4 linked regions of the Drosophila melanogaster genome follow. The protein of the gene in region 4 purifies or fractionates together with the protein of the main gene of each other region. This does not show direct contact. Each region holds a gene or a part of one and is shown on either strand. Other genes may lie near its edges. The genes, in order: hmw, Cpr62Bc, CG4962 and Vajk2.

The links.
Region 1: the proteins of Vajk2 (region 4) and hmw purify together in Drosophila melanogaster (affinity purification with mass spectrometry, with the first as the bait; one large-scale study listed by BioGRID). This does not show direct contact.
Region 2: the proteins of Vajk2 (region 4) and Cpr62Bc purify together in Drosophila melanogaster (affinity purification with mass spectrometry, with the first as the bait; one large-scale study listed by BioGRID). This does not show direct contact.
Region 3: the proteins of Vajk2 (region 4) and CG4962 purify together in Drosophila melanogaster (affinity purification with mass spectrometry, with the first as the bait; one large-scale study listed by BioGRID). This does not show direct contact.

Annotation. Positions count from the first base shown.
Region 1 is NT_033777.3:18,359,250-18,365,963, forward strand, and holds hmw (hemingway), read left to right. Parts: upstream 1-2,744; 5' UTR 2,745-2,876; coding exon 2,877-3,080; intron 3,081-3,152; coding exon 3,153-3,767; intron 3,768-3,822; coding exon 3,823-4,520; intron 4,521-4,574; coding exon 4,575-4,734; intron 4,735-4,796; coding exon 4,797-4,934; 3' UTR 4,935-5,028; downstream 5,029-6,714. Other genes in the region: WRNexo (WRN exonuclease), read right to left, coding at 5,361-5,516, 5,573-5,816, 5,872-6,096, 6,159-6,364, 6,423-6,527, 6,662-6,714. UniProt on the Drosophila melanogaster protein: Involved in assembly and/or maintenance of motile cilia. Required during spermatogenesis for axoneme elongation. Necessary for optimal function of the chordotonal (hearing) organs.
Region 2 is NT_037436.4:1,838,532-1,844,731, forward strand, and holds Cpr62Bc (cuticular protein 62Bc), read right to left. Parts: upstream 3,554-6,200; 5' UTR 3,474-3,553; coding exon 3,459-3,473; intron 3,362-3,458; coding exon 3,230-3,361; intron 2,657-3,229; coding exon 2,261-2,656; 3' UTR 1,750-2,260; downstream 1-1,749.
Region 3 is NT_037436.4:16,293,297-16,298,343, reverse strand, and holds CG4962 (uncharacterized protein), read left to right. Parts: upstream 1-2,796; 5' UTR 2,797-2,860; coding exon 2,861-2,872; intron 2,873-2,935; coding exon 2,936-3,295; 3' UTR 3,296-3,633; downstream 3,634-5,047.
Region 4 is NT_033779.5:13,932,059-13,936,598, reverse strand, and holds Vajk2 (Vajk2), read left to right. Parts: upstream 1-1,906; 5' UTR 1,907-1,989; coding exon 1,990-2,001; intron 2,002-2,802; coding exon 2,803-3,603; 3' UTR 3,604-4,040; downstream 4,041-4,540.

The sequences.
Region 1 (6,714 bases), on a different chromosome or scaffold from region 4:
CCACTCAAAACCATACCAAATATACACGTTTATTTTGGTTAACAATTAAAGTAAACTGAAAAAGTAGCCTATAAAAAAGGCTAAATGGTAAACTTTATCGTGTTTCGCTTTCACTGAACATTCGAGCCACAACCGCAAAATGATTTAGCGAGCAAAAGCAAAGTTTGTTGCACGTAGGATGCATCAATTAAAATGATAATAAATTTATTAAATTCATTTCCTTCAAAAAGTGATGACCGTGCTATTTAAGTTTTATGTTTTATATTTTATTGTTTTGTCGTACAATTTGTTTGAGTAAAAACATCCGGCTGCAGAAGTTAACAAAAAACTAAGTAAATAATGTGGTTCGTAAATCGATTGAAAAATCCGACGGCGATTCACTATTTTTTCTGTTATTCAAAACAATTTCGCAACACATCTGGTTTACTTATTATAGCTATTAAGTTGATTTTTAAACGCTGTGCTATTTGTTTAAACGCAGTGCTATTTCTATCACAACTCTTCGCAATTACAGGGTATTTGGCGGCTTAACGGATGTGTTTCCATCCACCCATGGCCAAGCCGATCCGTGCCAAGACTTGCGGATGCCGGAGCTGGAGCTGGAGCTCTTGGTCTAGCCGCATTGACTGCGGCTCTTGGCCGGGTTGGTGGATTCGAGTCGGAGATCTCAGGTTGTAGGTTGCAGATTGTGGGTTGTGGGTTGGCGGCTGCGGCTGTTTGCTGGTGTCGTGTGGCTGCGCCTTTTGACCCACCTAGCCGCCCCCGCAACCCCCGCGGCCGTCACAAGCTCTTAGCCAAATTGCTGCAGCCCGAAAAGAGAGATGGGGCGCGGAAGAGAGAGGGAGAGCGAGCGAGCGAGGAAACGGAAATAACTTGTAAACTTGCGGCACGCAATTTGCAATTACTTAGGCGACTGTTGCAAAGGAACATCAACCAACGCATGCAAAGGACAAAGGCAAGAGCGACTGCCAAAAAGTGAAACTTCCCTCAACTATTTGCTATTGATTAAACAACTAAAACGGCAAATGGAAGCAGAATTTGCGTATATGCCGTATACACCGTATGTTGCCGTTATAAAAGCTGGTCAAGATTGCGTATACGCCGCTTATTCCACTCTTGCGCTTGATTTTACAAGCCCATATTGCGTATACGCCGCACGTTCCACTCATTTTTTTCGTAAGCGTTTTTAAAGCCGTTGACGCTTGAAGGGCTTGTCACCGGTTATTCAGTTGGCCTAGTTGTTGACTTTTCTTAGCCACGCTAATTACCCGCACTGGCTGGCCAGTCGATGGGCCAGCAAACGATTTCCGCTACGATACCGTGCCACTTCATTCACGCACTCCACAAACACAGGCACATGGCACGCTACACACTTGCTGGTTTGCTCTGCCAATTTTCCCGTTGCGGGCCACAATTTTCACACACATCTATCACGGTTTACGCGCGCATTTTCCGGCTCAGCAACACGCCCGCACGCCACGAAGCTTCTTGGCCAAATGAATTGCCCGCTGGCCAACAGCAGCCGCTTCGCTCAAAGCGAGGAAATCCAGGGGGGAATCGTACCCACGAGGGGGCCACTCTCAACGCCCATGCGCACTGCCTTATGGCCACATGACTCTGGAGAGGATTTGAAGCAGCGATTCGGGAGCACTGCCATCGCCGCTCGCAATATTTACAATTTGCAACTGGCAGGCGGCGGATTTCGACGCCGCTTCGCCTTTCATTCAACTGTCAGATTTCGTGAGAGTCACTCAGAGAAAATACCCCGAGAATGGAGTCGCTGGGCGAGGGAGAGAAAGTGCTGGAGCGCAAGTTCCTGACCACAGAGGCGGCGCCACATGGAGCTAATGGGGATTCTTAATTGTTTAAGATATTTGAAAATGCATAGCAGGAAATAATGGTTTAGTTTACCAAGTAGAAGAAATAAAATCACCAAGATATACTAACTATTATAGATATATGTATGGATTAATATTTATTGTTCAGAGTTTATTATTGCACTTTATAATACATTTATGACCAAGTTAGAAAATCCAATCTTCAATTTCAATTTCCTAACTTTTAATCCATTAAGCATATGAATCATTGGGCTTTAAACTTGTAATTCTTAAGCTAGTGGTTAAAAGTAATATGGTCTTGAGAAAAAAGAAATATATAAACACAAATCAATATTATATATCCGGCAAAAAGTTCTAGTGTTCGCAGCTTAAACCCGGTGCTTAAAAAGTAAATCCGCTATATACTTGCTGAATAACTTTTGTATTATTTCAATATCACTTTATATCAATTTCCAGTGCTGTTGGTTAATTTATTCAGTGTTTTCCATAATTAACGCAACAAGAGCCGGCAAAGTGCTGCTGAGGCAACCAACAACAAACCGCCTGCGCCTGCTCTGTTGCCCAGGACAACCGCTGGCTAGAATAAATAAATTCCCAGGTGTCAAGTGGTGGGTGCTGCGACGAGGGGTTAGCGGTGGGCATGCGGACTCCGCTCACCTGAGCTCCAGTCGACGGTTGGCAGCGCCACCGCAATGCAACCAAGGAGTCAAAGTTGAGCCAAGAAGCGCGGTATGCGCCCAGTTTTTCCAACTTGGGGTAGACCGGAGACGGAGGAGCACCTGCCCCAATGTGGGCGCAAAGGTGTCAATCATAAGAGCGCATCGAAATGGCTGCAAAATCAAACTCAGTGAACAAATAGCAACTACTCAAGCTGAAATCAAAATTCAAAGTTTGAAAGGCCTAGGAGTTTCGGCAGTTCTCAGTACAAACTAAAGAAAAACACACGGGTGACAACGCTAATACCCCAAAAAAAACAAAATACACTACAAACGACGAAAGGAACTTAATCAGAGAACCGACGAAGAATAAGCATACAGGATGTCGGGGGCTGGAGAACACTCAGATGAAGAGTCCTATGGAGAGGAGTCCTTCGAGGAGGACTCGGAGTCGGAGGTGGAGGTGGAGGAAGAAGAGATTGAGTATATTGAGCCAGAGGAGTCAAAACCAAGTGACGCTCTTCTGTTGGGGGAGAGCGACACCCAAAGCGAGAGCGATGTGAAAGAAGAGTTTCTTAGCGGCAACGTAAGTCCTCCTCACCAGGAGCTGACTATTTCCGAGTTCAGCCTTAATCCGCAACCTGCATCGCGCCCACAGCCACACGCCCGTCGCTATTTGGGCGCCCGAGTGGTGTCCTACCTGAGTTCCTCCTCTGACGACGAAAGCCAAGTGGTCATCACCAAGACGGTAGCCGAGGTAAATCAACTAAGTCTGCGAGTGGACACGCCTCCGGAGGATGAGACGCCCTCGGTGCGCACTCTGATGCCAGGCAGTGCCCATTCTCGGGTTAAGGATGAGGACGAGGCTGAAGACGAGGATGATGACGAAGGTGATGGCGAAAATGATAACGATAATGAGGACGAGAATGATGACGAGGATGCTGAAGTCGAGGAAATCGAAGAAGAGGAGGAAGAAATTCCAGGAGACGAAGACGACGCCCAAAGCGATGGATCCATGGGTCGTCAATCCGCCGACGACAGCGACGAGGAGGAGGGCACGGATGTGGAAGTGGAGCAGCTGGAGGAGGACGAACCAATTGTAACAGCTGTGTGCAAAAAGACGGTCCAGAAGGAGTTACCACCGCCCCAGAAGGACATTGTTTCGCTGGTCGATGCCAGTGATAACAGTAGTGAGCACAGTGTGGTCACCATGTGTGCATCAGGAGACGAAACAGACAACACCTTGGTGAAGTATCCTAGATTACGAAAGCAGGTAAATAATGGATTAGATAATATCTCACTACAGATAATTAAACACCTACTCACAGCAACCACTTACTGCTAAGGATTCGCAATCGCTAAAAGAGCAGGAAGAACCGGAAGAACCGGAACAACCCGAAGAAAATCAAACAGAAGAACACATGCCAACATCACAGCCCGATCTGGCGAGGGTTCGGTACCTGGAGCAGCAGATGACCCAAATGTCGGAATTGATCATGAAGTCATTCCAGATCAATGGAGGAGCGCCAAATAGCCAAGCCTTCGAGCAGCTTGCCATGGCCACGGAGATGTTGCAGCAACGAAGTGACAGGCGCGGGGACACTGAATCCGAGATGTCATCGATGACGGAAACGACTATGACCAGTGCTAGGAGCTTGGGTGGAGGAATTCCCCCCCTGACAATGCGGATGGAGCGTTCTCAGGAGGCACTACTCACGACGCGATCTTCCAAGCTACCCAGACCCAAATGCAGATGTCCCTCGGAATCGGATTTAATTGAACACGAGCAGAAACTGGATATGGGTCACGAGTTGCCCCATGACCTGGCAGCGAACTTCGGCTTGGGCGAAGGCTACCTCGTAGACGAATGTGGCCAGGGCGACGGACTCATGAGGCATCCACAACAGCGCAAACCAATGGAGTTAAACAGGCGAGCCGTTAGCGGAACTCCAAGCACCTTCAACAGCGACGGTTGCGAGTATCAAATCAATGTGTCGCGTTCCCGCTGCTCTAATGATAAGATTAAGTAAGTAACTTATAATACTTATACACTCTATTACATATAATTACATCTGCATAGCTATAAAAACCTTGGGCGCAAAAGCTTTAGCTTTACGAATCCCCAAGTGCGCGAGATCGAGCGCCAGAATCAGATTCTTTTGCGCAAGATGATGACTGTGAAGCCCACGGCGACGATCAAGGCTAGCACCAGTAGCATAAAGATCAATGGGCCCGAGAAGGTGAGTACATAATATAGAACTTATGTCCAATATTAAACCTCTTCCTTAACAATGTCATACAGCGACAGACACCTCCAGCGCCACGACTGTCCAGCGCAGCTGTGAACCGGAAGAAGAATCAGCGCCAGATCGACCTGGACAACGATCTGCTCAAGCGGAAACTGGAGGCCATCGGCACACGGCGACCGCAATTCAAGTGACGCCTCCACAGGCAGCTCCAACTGTGTTCATTAAGTAATTAAAAGTGTTTATGCGAATTTACAAAATTAAAATTTATTGCAAGTTGAAAAGTGTAAAAAGCTGTATAATCTTAATATAATTTTAAGGGAATTTATAAACCAACTAGAATTCATGCAAAAATGTATAGTACTAGTAAAATTTCGTTCCGATCAAAGTCAATGCATCAAAATGTGTTTATAATTTGTACATTTAGGTATAAACAATTCTATAAATGTTATCGTAATCAATAATCGAATTGGATAGCAATATTAAATTTAACAATTATTTTGCAGCACGTTGGTAACAAATTAAACTAAGAAAAACTCCCGAAAATAAATGAAAGAAGGCGAAAATATTTAAACAGGTAAAAGGAATTAGATGGCATATCTGAAACTTCAAAGAAAAGCTTACAGAGTCACCTCGTTGATCTTGGTCAGAAATGTCTCTCCCAATGCTTTCATTGCTTTAAAGGCAGCATCTCCGTTCTTTTCCTTGAACTCTTCTTCATTTTTAATCTTGACCTTCTCGCGGCGTTCCAATTCACGATAGATAACCTGACCAATCTGAAAAGAAAACTAAGATTGAACGAAATTGTATGGAAAAGTGAATATCAACTTACATAGACATCGATGGCGGCGTACATTAGTTGATTCTCGTCCAGCGGAATGACATGCCACTTGCTCATGCGCACCTTCTTGCTTTTGTCCATGGCCTTCTTGGCTATAAAGTTGGTTAATCGCTCCAAGCTCCAGCGCCCGCCGGTCTCACAGACCTCATTGCACCAAAGACCCAAGTCCACGCATTTCTCTATCAGTGGTTCGGCTGTAACCTCGGGGAAATCACGTGCCAGCTTTCGGAAATCGCTGGAAAATAACAGATTTTATTTATCCAAATGGATTTTTCCTTTGTATAACTAACTTCTTTATGTTCACGCCATGCAATCGCACTTTGGGATGATTGATAAGGGCCACCAGGGCCGCAGGCAGTTTCTTCACATTAGTCAGCTGGTATATGTAGCAGCACTTTTCATCCACGCATATCTGGATGACGGCAGACTTGCCAGGTCCTGTTTGGAAAGAGAAGGGCCACTCCATGTCGAAGGCCATGGGCACTACCTCATCTTTTTGTTTTTCCACCCATTGCCTAAGTTTTGATTTTTAATGCACATTATTAACAAGCAGGAATAAGTTATAGAGTTAACTTACAAAACATCGTCAGCAGATGCCGCAATATCCTGGCTCTCCGTGAAATACTTTATAGCACCCTTGTATTTAATAAAGGGAAGCTTTTCGGGCTTTTCCTTCTCCGGTGATGGAGACCCATCCTCTGCCATTGAACGAGTGCTTCTGGTCAGCCTGGAACTCCGGCGCTTGGGCGGATTTTCTTCCTCCATCGCTAACTTCTCAGTCTTCTATAAAGTTGTTAATGCTTCGTCCCAATATAAACTTAATATATAAATTGTTGCTTACCACATCTGGAGTATCCAGATTTTTTCGCTTGGCAGCCGGTCTACCGGGTCTTCCTTTCGTTTGCTTTGGCGTATTATCATCTCCAGCATTTTCTTTATCTTTCAACTGCAAGATTTATTCGGTTGAAATAGTATACATAGTCATTATTGCTTCCGATTTACAGAAACCGATTCTTAGTTTTGAAAAAAGCAGTAGCAGTATTTTAAATAATAAATTCTAAATAATAAACAAATGCAAACCTCTTTTGGAGTATCCTTTTTTGTTGCTTTCCTTGCCACTTTGGGAGTCTCCT
Region 2 (6,200 bases), on a different chromosome or scaffold from region 4:
GTAACTGTCATTTGTGTATGAAGAAGTCGCTGGCTAAGTAAAGGTTACTGGAGCAGCAGATGCGAGTTTACATTCCACTCGACATTGAGATTTCACATTTTGGCACAAGGGAGAGGTACTGCATGTCTTGAGCTCAGATAGTCAGATATAGTTAGCAATCGGATACTTCCTTCCGGCATTTCCTACATCTTGACCTTATGTAGACGGGTAATCCGCCCCCAAAGGCGGCACCTGTCCGGCATTTTTTTTTTTGTTTTTCGACTCAAGTGAATTAATGGAGACCACGTATGGCATATTCACCCTTTTGTTTTGCTTCGAGCTCGAAAAATGCGCACATTTAAACGCTCCGCTGCCCACTGATCTCTGATAAATTCTTTTTCCCTCACCCAGCACTTTTGCACCATTTTCCCGACGTCTCTGTTTTGATCGTTGGCCATTTGTCTAGAGTGTAGACCAAAAACCACGTTGTGCCCATTAAGAGATCAATATTTGGCTTTGTTTCGTTTTGTTCGCACGTTAAATGTGACGGAAATGCGAAGATTTGTTGCATGCGGAAGCCTCCACACACTCATCTCTTGTGACTTAAATGTTTTAAGTTATGCTTTATTTGTTTATTGTCTTCGCTGGAGAGATGCCCCCGAACTTGTGACCGCACTGGGGGGCAACTCCACCGTGGGCACCCTTCTGCGGTGGCTTCCAACGGCCACAAAAGTAAAAGTGCGTAAGTGGATAGGCAAAATGCGGTGGCATCAATCGACCTTGTTATGTGTTATTAAAAAAGTGTCTATTGGAAAGGATACATTTCTAGGGAAATTGTTGTATATTTGTAAGCCAATAAAAAGGTATGCTTAGTATGAAACCCTTATTAAAAAATTCTACATATCTATAAGGTACTAACTAAATAATTAATTTAATAACTAATAATATAAGTAGTAAAATAATAGTAATAATAAAGTTTAATAAATGTTTAAAATGGCTTTTCAATAAAAAATACAGTGGCATAGTTGCTTGTAGCATTCATATTGTTTTTATTAAGCTTGAAAGTAGTCTATGACTGTAAGTCTTGTTTATAGCAGCCAAAAAGCACACATCATCTATCTATTTTTTTCTAAGCCTTCAAAAATCAATTTGAAATCGTAGTTTAAAGTTGTTTAAGAAATCAATGCCCAAAAGTTTTCTACAAAATAATATTAAAGAAAGCCCATTTAATGAGTTCGAGTAGTGCATCTGGTGAAATATCCTTAAATCGGAAATTAAGAAAACTCTATGAATGCAAATTCCAGATACATAAGGCTATATATAGTTTTATATTTAAGCTTCAAGTTTCATATGAATGCTGATGCGAATCTTATTATGAAAGCGCACGTCTTGCCAGAGTACAGATGGCATAGTTCTTCTGCAGATAAATAATCAGTTAATAAACACCAACTGGTTATTGGCGGATCAAATGATAATCAACCGCCGATGATTACCTTCACCTTTTTCACTCCACGCCCACAAATTAGCCAGATCGATTATTGTCAATCAAGTGGCGTGATCTCGACGAAGTGCTCTCTACCCATCAATTTCCATAACATTCATAACTAATGGAAACCATAATTACCCATACTTGGAATCAATTTGAAAGTGAATGTGTTCTGATCAGAAATGCCAATCAACTAATTAATTGTAAGATAAAACAGAATAATCAAATTAAAGATCAATCTATGTTTTCAGTTCCTTTCTGTGCAGTAAAAAAACGAAATATTTGAATTTTTATAATTCTCTACATTTTGTATTTATAGCATTGTCAGCCGTTTCAGCTTCAAACTTATAGTATACACAAAATTATTATAATACATGTGTTTTTTTTTATTATTTTTTTTTACATTTTGTTCGTTTTTCTTCATCTTTTCAGGTTGGTTCTTCTTCGTGGGCGTGTGGCAGGATGGGCGTTTGTTCCTCACTCGATGTTTTCATTATTTACAATTAAAGAGAAGGTTGATTAACAAACAAAAGAGAGAATTGCGCGAAAGCTGAGACAGAGACGGCAATGTGTGTGTGTGTGTGTGAGGGAGACAGAGGCTGCCGGGAAAGTCCGGGGAATCCACGGCAGGACATGATGGACATGACTGTGGTACTGAGTATTTTAGCAGGCTTCGTCAGTGGATCGATCAGCCGTTTTGTGAGGTCGTCAACGTGCTTAATAAATTACAGAAGAGTGGTGTTAGCGGTGCAGGTGGTGCTTCAGGTGGTGCATCCAGCGGACTGCTCCACTTCCTTAGTAGTGGGCCACATGCGCGTGAGCGTTGTGGGTGGCGTATCCGTAGGCGGGCACCTGATGCGCCAGGGATCCGGCGTAGGGCACGGCGGGAGCGGCGGCCACATGGTGGGCAATGGCTGGGGCATAGGCCGGAGCGGCATGGACCACGGCGGGAGCGGCGTGGGCAACCACAGCGGGAGCGGCGTGGTGCACAGTGGGGCCGGTCTTGTGGACGACGGCGTTGAAGCCATTGTGGTCATCGGCGGTGTACTCCACGGTGCGCACCGAACCATCGGGCTCCACCAGAGAGTAGGATCCCTTGACGACATCACCATCACGCACTTCGTGCTGCGACTTCACGTCTCCGGTGTGAGAGTCAGCCACTCCGTAGTTGTAGTGGTACTTGGGGTAGGCCTGCGGATTGGCGTAAAGATTCCATGAGAAGAGTACGGGCCTGCTAGGATTGGGTGCTAATTTTATGTGCATGCCACACGCCACTCGAAGCAGCTGGCCATGCTAATGAAGCTAGCGTGGGAAAATGGCTAAATGGCAAATGCCACAGTGACCCTGGGCCACCAGCATCCACAGAGGAGTGGGTGAGAGGTTGTGCGGACTGATGGTGTCAGTTTTAGGGCATATTAAGTATAATTTTATGATTGCATGAACAGCCGGTAGGCTGTATAACTTTTTCGGGCTTACAGGTCGTATGAGTAATGTTTGCGGGAGGGATTACGTGTCGTATAAGTAATTTTTATGAGTCAAGATGCATGCATTTCTTAGCTCTGGATGGTATTGTAGTCGTTTGATTTTAAAAGAGCAATAAACTCATGATGCACATTTTCAATTAAGAGGAAGCTTTTCAAAATGTATGTTTTAAACAAGTCAAATGGATTCCAATAGTAGGACATTGATTTTCTTTAAGAGTTAGTAATCCTCATATGCGCTACTTTGAAAGTTAATCCTTTTTGGGTTATCTTGCCCACTTACATGGTAATCGATTCCCTCGTCGTGGTGACCATGGCCGGCATAGATGGCCGGGGCGGCGGCGTAGAGACCAGCACCATGTCCGTGGAGGACTCCGGCGGAGGCGGCGCTCAGGACGGCCAGGCAGATGAGGGACTAGATCACAGGGGATAGGGGTTTGTTTTATTAGTTTGCTATTTCGATTGGATCACAGGGCACTTTTGGCTGTCACAGGGCTGTCCTGTTCACTCACTTTGAAGAATGCCATTGTTTGGATTTTTGGGATTTTGTTTCTTGCAGACGCGAGTGTGTGCTGTACGTTGAGCTGGATTCAACTGATAACTAGAACCAAGAAGGAAGCCGCTTTTATATACAAGACAACGCCCGAGCGGCCCAAACCGAGCCGAGTCACAAAAAGCCGAATGCCAGTCGGTCAGCAGGGGCAAAAACAAAACTACAATGAAATACCAGCCAAAGCCGAGCTTTGCGGAGCGAAGCCCAAGAAGTTGAGGCCCCCACAACGCCCCTGCAACGCCCCCCCTTCCCCACCAACAATTCACAATTATTTAATGCTTTTCAGCGAAAAAAAACGAGAGTGAAGTTCAGTTCAGATGTGGAGCGACTGTTGGCTGGCTGTGGTTTGTCTTTGGAAATTGTCTGATTTCTGAGATAACCGGCGATGTATGCAAATCGAAGTCGAAATAATTGTGAAATGGAAGGGAAAACCTCACTTAATGCGAGTTCTATCTGCTGAAATCAATACTCGTATTAACATATCAAATTGGCCATTATTAAGGCGTATTAATTATGAAATCATGATCGGAAAAAAGTTGGCTATCTATATATTACCATCTCCCATCACGATTTAATTGAAATGGCCTTTGCAAGCTCTAAACTACCTAGCAAAAACAATCTTCGCGCACGAATAAAATTAGCCGTAAACACAAATATTTATGAAATAAAAAGACAATGGCTGAAATAAGTTAAAATTGCATTTCGGTGGGCGGCGGTGTTGCAGCCCCCTCCTGAAAATCCCCATGGTTTTTTTCTGTTGCATGTTGCAATTTGTTCGCTCGTCTGTTTCGTGGGCTTCAAGTCGAAGTTTTCTATGTTCTACGTTTTCTGTGCCTTATTTTGCTTGCAGCGGGCGTCGTCTGTCAAATCTTTTGGTTAATGTGATAGTACACTGCCAAAAATGGTTTGAGGTATTGTAGATTAATTTCGAAGTCTTAGTAAAACATCAGTGGTATCATTCCACTAAAACGAGCTACTGACTCATGAAATCCCATAAATCTTGAGATATTTTTGCAATACTTTTAACTAAAGTCAGCAAGTGGCTTTGTTCTTCAATTGTTTTCCAGTGCACTGACTGTTGTTCCTACTGACACTTTTTTAATTGCCATGTAGGCCGTTTTGCTTATTAAACCCATCTGGGAAAGACAAGAGGGGTGTGCTATGGGGAGGCCACCACCCGAAGACGCTGTAGAAACGCCTTTGAAGTGGGGCGCAGCGTGGCGCCACATCATTATGGCCAAAATAGACGCCAGTTCAGCCCCAACTCATTACCAGGCCAAAACTACGAACAGTAAAAAAGCAAAAGCGTTTGGTTTTGTCATATTTTTGAGGGCTGCCTTGCTTTGTTTTACGGCATATTTGCGCCAGGCTTATGCTACGTACTTGCCCTGCTTCGACTCATTTAATAAATTGTCTCGAATTAGTAGCTCGGCTCTGACATTCCCCCTTTGGTGCCCCCCCCCCCCCCCCCCCCTCTGAGCCACCATTTATGCCAGGCTGGCCATCGCGTACTACAAATTGAAGTAATCATCTCAAGGTTAGCACGACACAGCAGCAAACGACGTGTAACGGATCACTAACAGTTTTAATCTCAGCAGGGGCGTAGTTAAAAAAGAGGGTTTACTTATCCGAAAGTTAGTCCAGATTACTTTACACATGTTGATTTTCGTAGAATGGGCAGTTGGGAATGGTTAGTTGGTAAGTAAGTAGACAATGAGCTTCCTTAGAATTTAATTATATTTCTTTAAAGTTTCCCATCCCCCCTTTATGATATACCCCTCTAAATATTCAAACTGCATCTTTGAGTTTGCCTGAATTAGAGCACGATCTGATTGCGTCCTTTGTTTGCGGAAAATGACGCACCGTCGTGGCCAATTAATTGAATTTTTGCAGTCGAGACTTTGAAAAACTAGGTTTCGATTGGGTTCGAGCAAAAATGCTGTAATTGATTGCCTTTTGATGGAAGATTGAGCCATATTTGGGAAGAGGTAGGGCTGATCAGTGGTTCGCATTGTGTCGATAGAATATCCCTGATAAACAATCGTTTCAAGCCACTCAAAATTTTATTACAACTTCTAATATAACAATGCAATGCAAAACCAGTTCCACCAACTTCCTTGATACGCGGTTTCGTTTCCTAGGTATTCACCAACCCGTTAGTTAAATGTGTGGAAATTCCTTGAACAATCATATGCCACTCACCGCGGCAGAACCAAGTCCAGTTTAAACAGACTATACTATAGTAGACTAGACTAGACTAAGCCCAACAATGACAATTACGAATTCGTGAATGCGAAACTCTTTGGCCACATTGCGCGTTTCCTTTTCGATTTAATTATTCACCCCTTCCGCTGAAACTCAGATTTGAGTACGTGCAACAGATCCGCTCCACATGGGCGCAAATATATATCTTAACAGTTATGAGTCAGGCGCGGAGTTCCAGAGACCACCCATTTTGCAGTCGGCAGCCGGATTCGCAGAATCATAGAATCGCAACGCCCAAGTGGCCAGCAGCAGTTGCAATAATCTTGGCCCGATCTTGGCTCGTCATGTCAGCGCACCAAGATCCGAGATCCGAGTCTCTGGCCACTTGAGTGGTGTCCAAACGAGTGGAGAGCCGCCGAGCTGGCCATATTTTTTTTAGCTGCGGGTGCACGACGTGAATAGTCACTGTGACTCGCGGTGTTAGAGAGTATTTACC
Region 3 (5,047 bases), on a different chromosome or scaffold from region 4:
ATGATAATTGTTGGCCCAACCTCGAGGCTGAGTCGAAGGTAAAACAGCTCTGGCATAATACAGTAGCCAAGGAAGGGTGGCAAAAGGGGGAGGATGGGATTAATCCACCTTAGTTCACTTTGATTCCATAAATGAAAACACTGCTCCACGTTGGCCAGTGTGTTTTTCTAGAGCTTTTCACAGCGGTGTCTGCCTGACATTTGCTTTATTGAAGGTGGAAAAACAAAGCGTTGATTGGTACCCTAGAAACATAATCACGGAATGATATTTCAGACTCATTAAAAAATACCCACTCGTAATAGTCGGGCTACGAAACGATTTACGGAATGTAAGGAAACTGTATTTATTCTGGAAAATTTCTGATACGATGCTTTGATTTTGGAGTTGTATCTAATACGGTTTTTACAATATTAAGTATACGTATATATTAAAATTTAACTTAAGTTAAAGCTTACTCCACGGATTTGGTATGCATTTATATTTGCAAACTAATTAAAAATAAATACATGAAGGTTTAGACTCACTTTGATCTTAGTGCTGAGGGTTTTCCAGGGTAATTAAGTAAACGCAAATGTGATTTTTGCCAGCCATTGTTACAGTTTTGCACTTGGCTGTTGTCGCTGTTCCTCTTGGTATTAATCATTATAAAACGAGTAATAGTCAGGCTTTGCTGTACACATTGTAATGTGCACGACATTGTGACAAAGGCTGGGGTAAGCACGGCCTTGACCGAGTGGCGTCCAACATGTGGTATACTTAATACTTAATTGGCCACACTCGAGTCACAGCCAGCGATCCGCAGATGGGAGGGAGTCAGCTATGCAAATTGGCCTCCACCCAACCGACAATTATGTTAAACTATAACAAAAAATATATAATAACTCATTGCGGTCACAAGCTGGTCTAATCAAATGCATGTAAGTCGAACTAGTCACCTCTGCTCCATTTGCGAACTCCAGACTTGCGACTTGGGAAATTTCCTTAACCAGAATGGGGCGGACAAATTTCAGGTCCGACTATTTCCCCAGAAAAATCGCATAAATCACGAAAGGAAAAAATATTGAGTTGAGCCACGAGTTGAGTTGGAAAATTGACGGCTTTTAATTTCGACTTTTGAATGATTTGTTGGCAATCAAAGTATTTTGGGCGTCGCTTGGGAAATGCGAATCTGAATCAAAATCGAATGTATGCATTGGATGGACGTTGCTCAATGGCTAGCAGACAAACAGAATGCAATTGGTAGGCCATTAAAATGCAATTACAGGCCACCAGAGTTTGGTGGTCAGCTGCAATCGGAACCAGCACGAATAAAACCAAAAATCCAAAACAACCGAGTGGGTGGCATATTTGGTTTTGTAGCTGCGGATCGATAGATAGCCACGCAATTTGGCATCCTGTTTGGTGTCAATCAAGCCGCCTTCGATTGAGATTTATGCGACAATTTGGTTAGCATTTGCATAACGCCACGGGTCGAAATCACGAGGTGTTGGCTTTGGTGAAGGGTTCGGCTTAGTTTTAGATTCGACTAGCACTAAGCCCCGTTGATATGCAGATTGTCCATTTGGGGTCCAATCAGCAACGATGGCCAGGGTCGCTGAGTCGAAAGAATTGTCGCCATCGTAATTGTTTATTAATTTATGACTCATAAACTTTAAGTCGGTCTTTGTTCGCCCTGAGAGAATTTCGATTTTTATACAACTCTTTGATTCAATACACCGATATTCAAGGCTCAAAACAAGCATTTTGCAATTCTTTTCGAGCCTCGTGTTCTGACTGATCCCGTGATATGATTTCAAAGCTGTTTCAGAATTAAGCATGGCTATTAGGAAATCTGGCAGGCCATTCGAAATGCGGCAAATATGATTTACCTATGTTTCCAATTGACTACGCTCCTTCCACCCAAGTTACGCATACGCCATGTGCGCGATAACAAATCAGTTAAATATTAATGCATGCAAAATATAGGCAAACCAGCTGCCGTCCAGCAGCCACCAAAATGACCAACTGCACCAATCTCCACTCTGTGTTTGTCAGTTATTAAAGTGAGTAATTTTTCATGGACCACTTGAGTTTATTTGCTGCGTGGAGAGGCAGCTCCGATTGATCATTTGCATCTGGACAACAACATTTTCCACACCTACGGATCTCTATATCTCTAATGAGCTGTCAGTCAGTCAGTCAGCTGATTGATAATAAAGTGCGTGTTTTCGGTTTTAGAAAGGATTTAGGCAGATATGCTTAATAGGCTTGCAGGCTTATATTTAAATAATTTGAACACGTGAATTCAACGGTTTTGAATAAAACACAATATTCATAGATAAATTTAAGTGCTCTTTCAAAGGAAATGTTACTTAATGGCCAATTTAGATCACTGGAATAATTGCAAAATTACTAATAGGCAAAACCAGATTTAGCCGTAGAATTTTCTCAGCTGGAAACCCCCAGAAGACAATTGTTCATTTCCACGACGAAATGAATGGAAATATAAAAGTTTCCGTTAGAGCAAAAGTCGCCGACAATAGCTGACGAAAAAAATACAAATTGAATTAAGTGCTCGTGGTGGTTCTCCATGAAAATCTTGGGGATTCGGTGGCTAAAATTGGCGGTGGCTCAGTGGCTCAAGCCAAAGCCGCCGCGTGACTGATCTCTTTCGCGATCTGCTGGTCGGCAAATGCACAAAGCTTCGGCTCTCGGCCGTCGAAAGGGGCGTGTTGGCTCTCCCTCTCCGCCGCTCTTTGGGCCAAGATTTGTCAGAATATTTCTCATGTTGCGGGTATAAATAACAGGGCTACTTGAGACGTCTAAGCATAACACATTCAGCTCTTCGGTCAAGAAGTCCAAACAACACAAAACCAGCAAAATGTTCAAACTGGTAAGATCAGGATTAAAGGATTACCGCTCGTATGAAGTTAACATAGAAGTTTCTTTTCCGCAGATTGCCCTCATCTCTGCCCTGTGCGCCGTGGCCAATGCCGGAGTAATCTCGCCCTACAGCCATGGATATGGACTGGGATACGGCGCCGCCTTGGCTCCGGCTTATGCCGCTCCGGCTGTGATCTCGCACGCCCCGATCATCAAGAGCTACGCCGCTCCCATTGTCGCCCACCCGGTGGCCACCTCCTATGCCAACACCTACAAGGTGGCCACCAAGGCCATTCCAGTGGTCCATGCCGCTCCTCTGGTCCATGCCGTGCCTGCTCTGCACTCCACCTCCACCTACCATGGATCCTATGGCGGCTACGGTAGCTACGGTCTGGGATACGCCGGCTACGGACACGGAGCCTACCTGCACTAAGGATCTGGATGTCGGAAAGGATACCAGCCCCCCGTTGACGACCCCGATTGAAGTGAGAACATTAAGCGGATAATTCGCATTTTGCTGCCGTCAAAGTGTTGAATTTGCATTTCGTAGTCAGAAGCGGAAATACAAATTGTGTACAAAATCCCTCAAAAACCCAGACACCCACTTGGAGACAGAGACAACTAGAGAACTAAGGACAACTAACGGGAGGCGGCGAGAGCGAGAGAGATTGATGAAGGATCAAGTTTCGTTGATTTTGTTATTATGGTGCAACTCCATGCATTGTGGCTTCATAACATTTTGTAAATAAACGATAAATGACTCTTTAAACGAATATGATGGCTTATTTCATTTACTGGTTGCTTATATATGTTAGTTTAAAAATATTCACTTGAAATTATGACGGATGGATATTTAAGATCCATATCCAAATATGCCTTACTACACACAATTCAATGAAATCTTTACGATACCTAACGTTTTGGAAGCAATATGAATTTTCAGAGTAATGTGGAAATATTTTAATTTGCCGTTTTAACACACACACATTTCGCAATGTAAGCCACTTAACTCAAAACTAATTGTTAAGGGGACAAATGTCTATTTATGAAGTGTGGAATTATTTTCAATTTAGTTTAGTTGAGCGTGAAGTGATCAGTTTTATTCGCATTTATAAGGATTCCAGATAGTATTGCTAGTTCGTAGATGCGAGCATTTCACAAAAAACTGCTTGTTCAATGATTTTCAACTGCGAACTTACCCCAACCATCCGATCGCCATTCAGCATTCAATTGCACTTCAAATTAATTTTACTTGAGCAACTTGCTCGATTCATATCGACTCCCGTCGGGTGTTTTGAAACTTGCAAGGAAAAAACCAAATACCAAAAAAAATTGTTTTATTGCAACGCCTTGCCCGGCCCACCTGCTCACTATACCCCCCCCCCCTCCTCTAACAATTATCATTGCGGGGAAACGAAAGACTCAAGCGACAAACGCGTGCGCCTGTCAACAGGTTGACCAGTGAAAAGTGCGTTGAAATATCTTTTTATTAATGGCCGGCCAACTGTCGCAGCTAAATGCTTTTCGCCCAGTTTCGCAAATGAAAAATGGGAGCACATCAACAGCTGCTGAAAAGTGAATTGAGTCACTTAATTACCTTTTTAACGCCGGCCAGCTGATCCTGGACCGAAAATACCAACTATAATTCATGCGAAAATTGAAAAGTCGTGTATTGCGCTTTGCCGGCGGCGTAATGGAAATCAATTTACGATTTTACTTAATAAATGTTATCTCGCCGAGTGAAAATCATAAGATGATGGGTGGGGTTGCTAAATATAATTCATATCGCCCATAACAATAGGCCATTGTTGGCAGCTCTTCGACCTTGACAGCCATACAACTCAATTGTGCCCAGCTATAGGTTTAATTTGTCTCAGTTCAGCTCGGCATAAATTATGTCCCCCTGTTCATAAACCATGTCGTAGTTATGGGCTTATAGCTTATAAAGACAGCAATACCGTTAGCTAGTCAAGCGAAAATTCGGCAAACGACCTTCGATTATTTGCAGACAAAAGGTGGGCCACAACTTCTGCTTCCTACATCTCCCAGGCCATTGAATATTCATTCGAGCTCGTCGGTTGACACTAAGTGGATGCATTTTGTGGCAGGTGCTCTCATGGCACAATTGCAGCTCTCGCAAGAGATTCCCACAACCTCGCAAATGCAACACACCTGTTGTTTACCT
Region 4 (4,540 bases):
CTTCACATTAGTAAAAAAAAAACAAAAACGACTGGAAAAAAAATACTGGCCACAAAAGAAGCGCCACGCCGGGCAAGGCCTAGCATTTATGTAGTTCAACTTTGACTCAGTCTTTGCCACCAATTGTGATGCTGATGATCGTGGTGTTGATCATGGCGATGATGTCTGGCGACCTTCGCCTTCAACTGCACATTACAAAGCCTAATACGCTCGGTTGCCATTATGTCCGCGGCGTTATGTCCACAATTAAATTAATGCACATAAAACCAACATGATTTGGTGCCCGTATCTGTTCTCCTTTGTGCGCGTTTTGCGGTCCACTCATTGTTCACACGTTCCATTTACATGGCCATTGGCGAGTATTTCCTCTGCAGCATTAAAATGTCAAATTACCCACACTGCCACAGCATTCAATCAATGCACCCATATCAAGGCTTAAAACGCCGCTCAGCCTGGCCAAAAAGCTGAGAAAAAAAAACCGAAGCAAACAAGAATACGGAGCCAAACACAAATCCGAGATCAAAAGTTCAGTCACGAAGCCACACAGAATCAAGCAGACTATGCGGCGCATGTTTCTTCTGCAGCCAAGCAATTTACATTCAATATGCAACTGCAACTGCAACTGGATTTGTAACCTGAAATTTTCGGAAATGTGTGGCTAATGTGAATTTAACTTATGGCTGTGGAACACTTTGCCCGTTGTGTCTAATTTGATTATGTGACTGAAGTGCTCGCGGTCAGTTATTTATTAATGGCTCAAGGCTTTGGGGCAAAAATTTCCCAACACTAAGGACTAGTCAAAATTATGCATTAGAAAAGTATTTGTGATCTCTTTTTTAATGTATATATTTTTTAATAATTATGAAGGTTTCGTTACCAGCCAAAAATTACTCATTTATTTATGGTCCATAAATTTTAAACTCTTTATGTTCATTTTTAACTTTGTTAATATTTAATTTTTAATTGAATAATTATTATGTTTATAATTAATGTTCTTTTCGAATGTGTTGATTTCCAAAGATTTATGTAAAATGGTAAGAAATACAAGTAGTTTATTTTATTTGTCGTGTTCATTAATGTAATTTTACCTGGGAAACAAACACTAACACTTCATGTATTTATGTGAGATTTTTACAAAAAATATATTAATAAGATATATTTGTACAAAGGGAAAATGATAATATAATAATGGCTACATATAACAATACTAACTGCGCAAAAAGACGTCGGAGGAAGGGCTCCGATCTAAAATTACATAAACTTTCTAAGGACTTTTAAAGCTGTTTACTAAAATTTTAACAATACAAAATTTATCACTTTTCGAATATTCTAGAAACAAACTCTGAGACTCTAAAACTCTAAAGTCGTTGATTAAAATTCATACGTATATGATTAAAAAAGTCTATATTGTTTGAACTGTACAATTAAGAGCGATTCTCCAAAAGAATTGATTGGATCTCTTTGGTAGATTAAGGCAAAATTAAACGAAATTACCCATTTGCTATGTTTGTTATGTTGGCTATTGGCAAGAAACGATTCTTTCTACTAAACTGTGCCCCCAGTTACTTGGTGTCTGAATACTTTCAGTAGTTCCCAAAGATCGCTACAGTTGGAGCTCGAGTGTTCACAGATACGCACTCATACAGGCGCAGATCACACGGACAACATGGACACTGTCCGTGTGAGGCACCCTCTTTCGAAAAAGCTCGCTTGCTGACGCATTTCCTTTGGGCCACGGGCTCACACGGACAGTTGGCCAAGAGAGAGAGGAGCTGTCGAACGGATGGAGAGCGAGCTTTTTCAACACGGCTGCTGCGATCTCGATTCACGTCGACTGCGCAGCCGCGGCTGAAGACAATCCCGCCACAGCATCGGCCATATAAAAGCTCGCTGCGTCTGTGCGAAATTATTCAGTTAACTGTTGCGGGTTGGTTGAGACATACAAGCCCATCTTGATCGCAAAGTGTTGAGGAGCTAACCTAGTGCAAAATGAAATCCATGGTATGTTCGGTCTGAGCTCAGTGTGTTCTCCTTCGAAGTGCTGCTTAGAATAATTGTGTTTCAAAAACTCGGATTCAGTTAAAGTGACTTGCAAAAGAATATATATATATATATTTATGGAACAATGTAGACATATCGGTGTTGCAATTAAAGTATTTTTAAAAAGGTTTTTGCACGACTTCATCAGCTCTTTCAAAAGCAAGGATAGAACGGATATTCTAAAATGTCTCTAGATATGTTACTTTTTTGTGGCATTTTGGTTTACCCAAGTAAATATGAACATGGTTTTAAGAAAGGATTTTTAGAGAGAAAACTAATTGAAATATTTAATTTTTCCATTACCAGTTCTACATTTAAATCTTATTGAAAGAAATCACATTTCATAATTACTAAAATCGAAAAGTGTTAAGGATCATTTTAACCCGAAAAGGATAGGCAGTCCTAGAATATGTTTTTAGCATTTAAAAAAGAAAACAAAAATGTAGATTCGTATTAAAAAGCTTTGAACGCGAAACTACAAAGAGTTGAATTTGCCTTCTTCCAATTTGTATTTTAACCGAATTATTGCGAAAATATCAAGCCACATTAAGTATACGCCGCATGCCCAATATGTCAGGGGGCCTAGGCCACAATTGAACTTGGCTGGTTGCCCAGCCAACTTTCCACCCAACATTGCATAATTGTCATATTCCAAATTATGGAGTAATCGGGCGGAGGTGGAGCCGGAAGCGGCTGCAGTTGCATAACCGCCCGACCAAGCCAATTGGGTTTCTATCGAATTTAACCCACTTGTCATTGCAGCTCATTTTCGGCCTTGTGGCGATGTGCGTGCTGGTGGCCAACGCCAGTGAGGAGGCACCCAAGAAGGCCGTCGAGACCGCCGAGCCCGCCGAGAAGAAGCAGGAGAAGCGCGGCATTGGCCACGGTCTGGGCTACGGATACGGACCATCGGCGGGAGGCGCCATTCTGGGATCCGGCATCGGTGTTGGAGTTCCAGTGGCTCCCGCTGTCGCTGAGCTGCCCACCCAGGTGCACACCAACACCGTGGTGAGGACCGTGCAGGTGCCCTACCAGGTGGAGCGTCACGTTCCCTACCCCGTCGAGAAGACCGTCACCTATCCCGTTAAGGTGCCCGTGCCCCAGCCCTACCCCGTGGAGAAGATCGTCCATGTGCCCGTCAAGCAGATCGTGAAGGTGCCCGTCGAGGTGCCCCAGCCCTACCCCGTCGAGAAGGTGATCCGTGTGCCCGTGAAGATCCCAGTTGATCGTCCCTACACCGTCCATGTCGACAAGCCATACCCCGTGCCCGTGGAGAAGCCCGTGCCATACACCGTCGAGAAGCGTGTGATCCACAAGGTGCCCGTCCATGTGGAGCGTCCAGTGCCCTACAAGGTGGCCGTGCCCGTGCCTGTCCACGTTGAGAGCCACGTCAAGCCCGCCGTGGCCGTCACCCACACCGTTGCCGCTGCTCCTGCCATCATCAGCCACGGCTACTCCGGACACGGAATCTCCGGATACGGAATTTCCGGACACGGAATCTCCTCCTACGGCAGCTCCTCCTACGGCGGCTCCGCCCACGGTGGCTACCTCCACAAAAAGTAGATGAAATCGCAATGCTGTCGAGGGCCAAGCGAGAAGTGAAGTCGGGTGAAGGCGAGCGAACCAACCAACAAGTCGAAAGTATCCAACAGACATTAAGAATCAAGCACCCCTCCCTCTCTTTCCACGCCCAGCAACCGCCAACGTACGACTTACAAATTTAGTTTTAGTTTGTGATACCAACCGAAATTCTGGAAGGATCGGAACCAGGAGAAAATCACACAACTGACGCAATCCATTATAGAAAGCTTGCCAAAACCCATCCGGGGCGTTTGAAAAGTGCCTGTCTCCTGGCATCCAAATCCATCGAGTGTACAGTTCTTTTGTAGACAATCACAGAGAAATAACTGCTGACGAGTTGCTCCTTCGACTTTTTCACGTAAATTTCTTTTCTATGAAATATTTGTACATATTTAAATAATGTAAATAAAACGAAAATTAAAAAAAAAAAACTTAAGACTTGTACTTTCAGAAATACTGGGCTTTCCATTAAAAAAAAAAAAGATAGAAGTTCGATAGGATATTTTTAAGGTATATAGGGTATTTTCACTTAATGAGCCTTTTGTTTAAGCTGAAAGCTTAATTTGTATTGCTGCATTGCTATTTTGGAATAAATACATTTTTTTACAGAAGTTATATATCTGTCAAGTTAAAACGTAGCCATAAAGGACTACATATTATATATTTACATATTATATATTTATATATAATATATATATATATTATATATTTATGGATATTTATTAATTTTTATGAGGGGGTGTGGAGTTACTCTTAAGTGGATTAATACAGCTTATTTTAGTCAAAGGATATTCCCACAACTATGCAATGATTTATTTATTTATTATAAATTTTGGGAATTATTCTGAATTGCATTACAGTGCGTCAAGTAATTGTTCGCAAACAATGTTTTTAAAACTGTAAATTTAGTGAGTAGGCC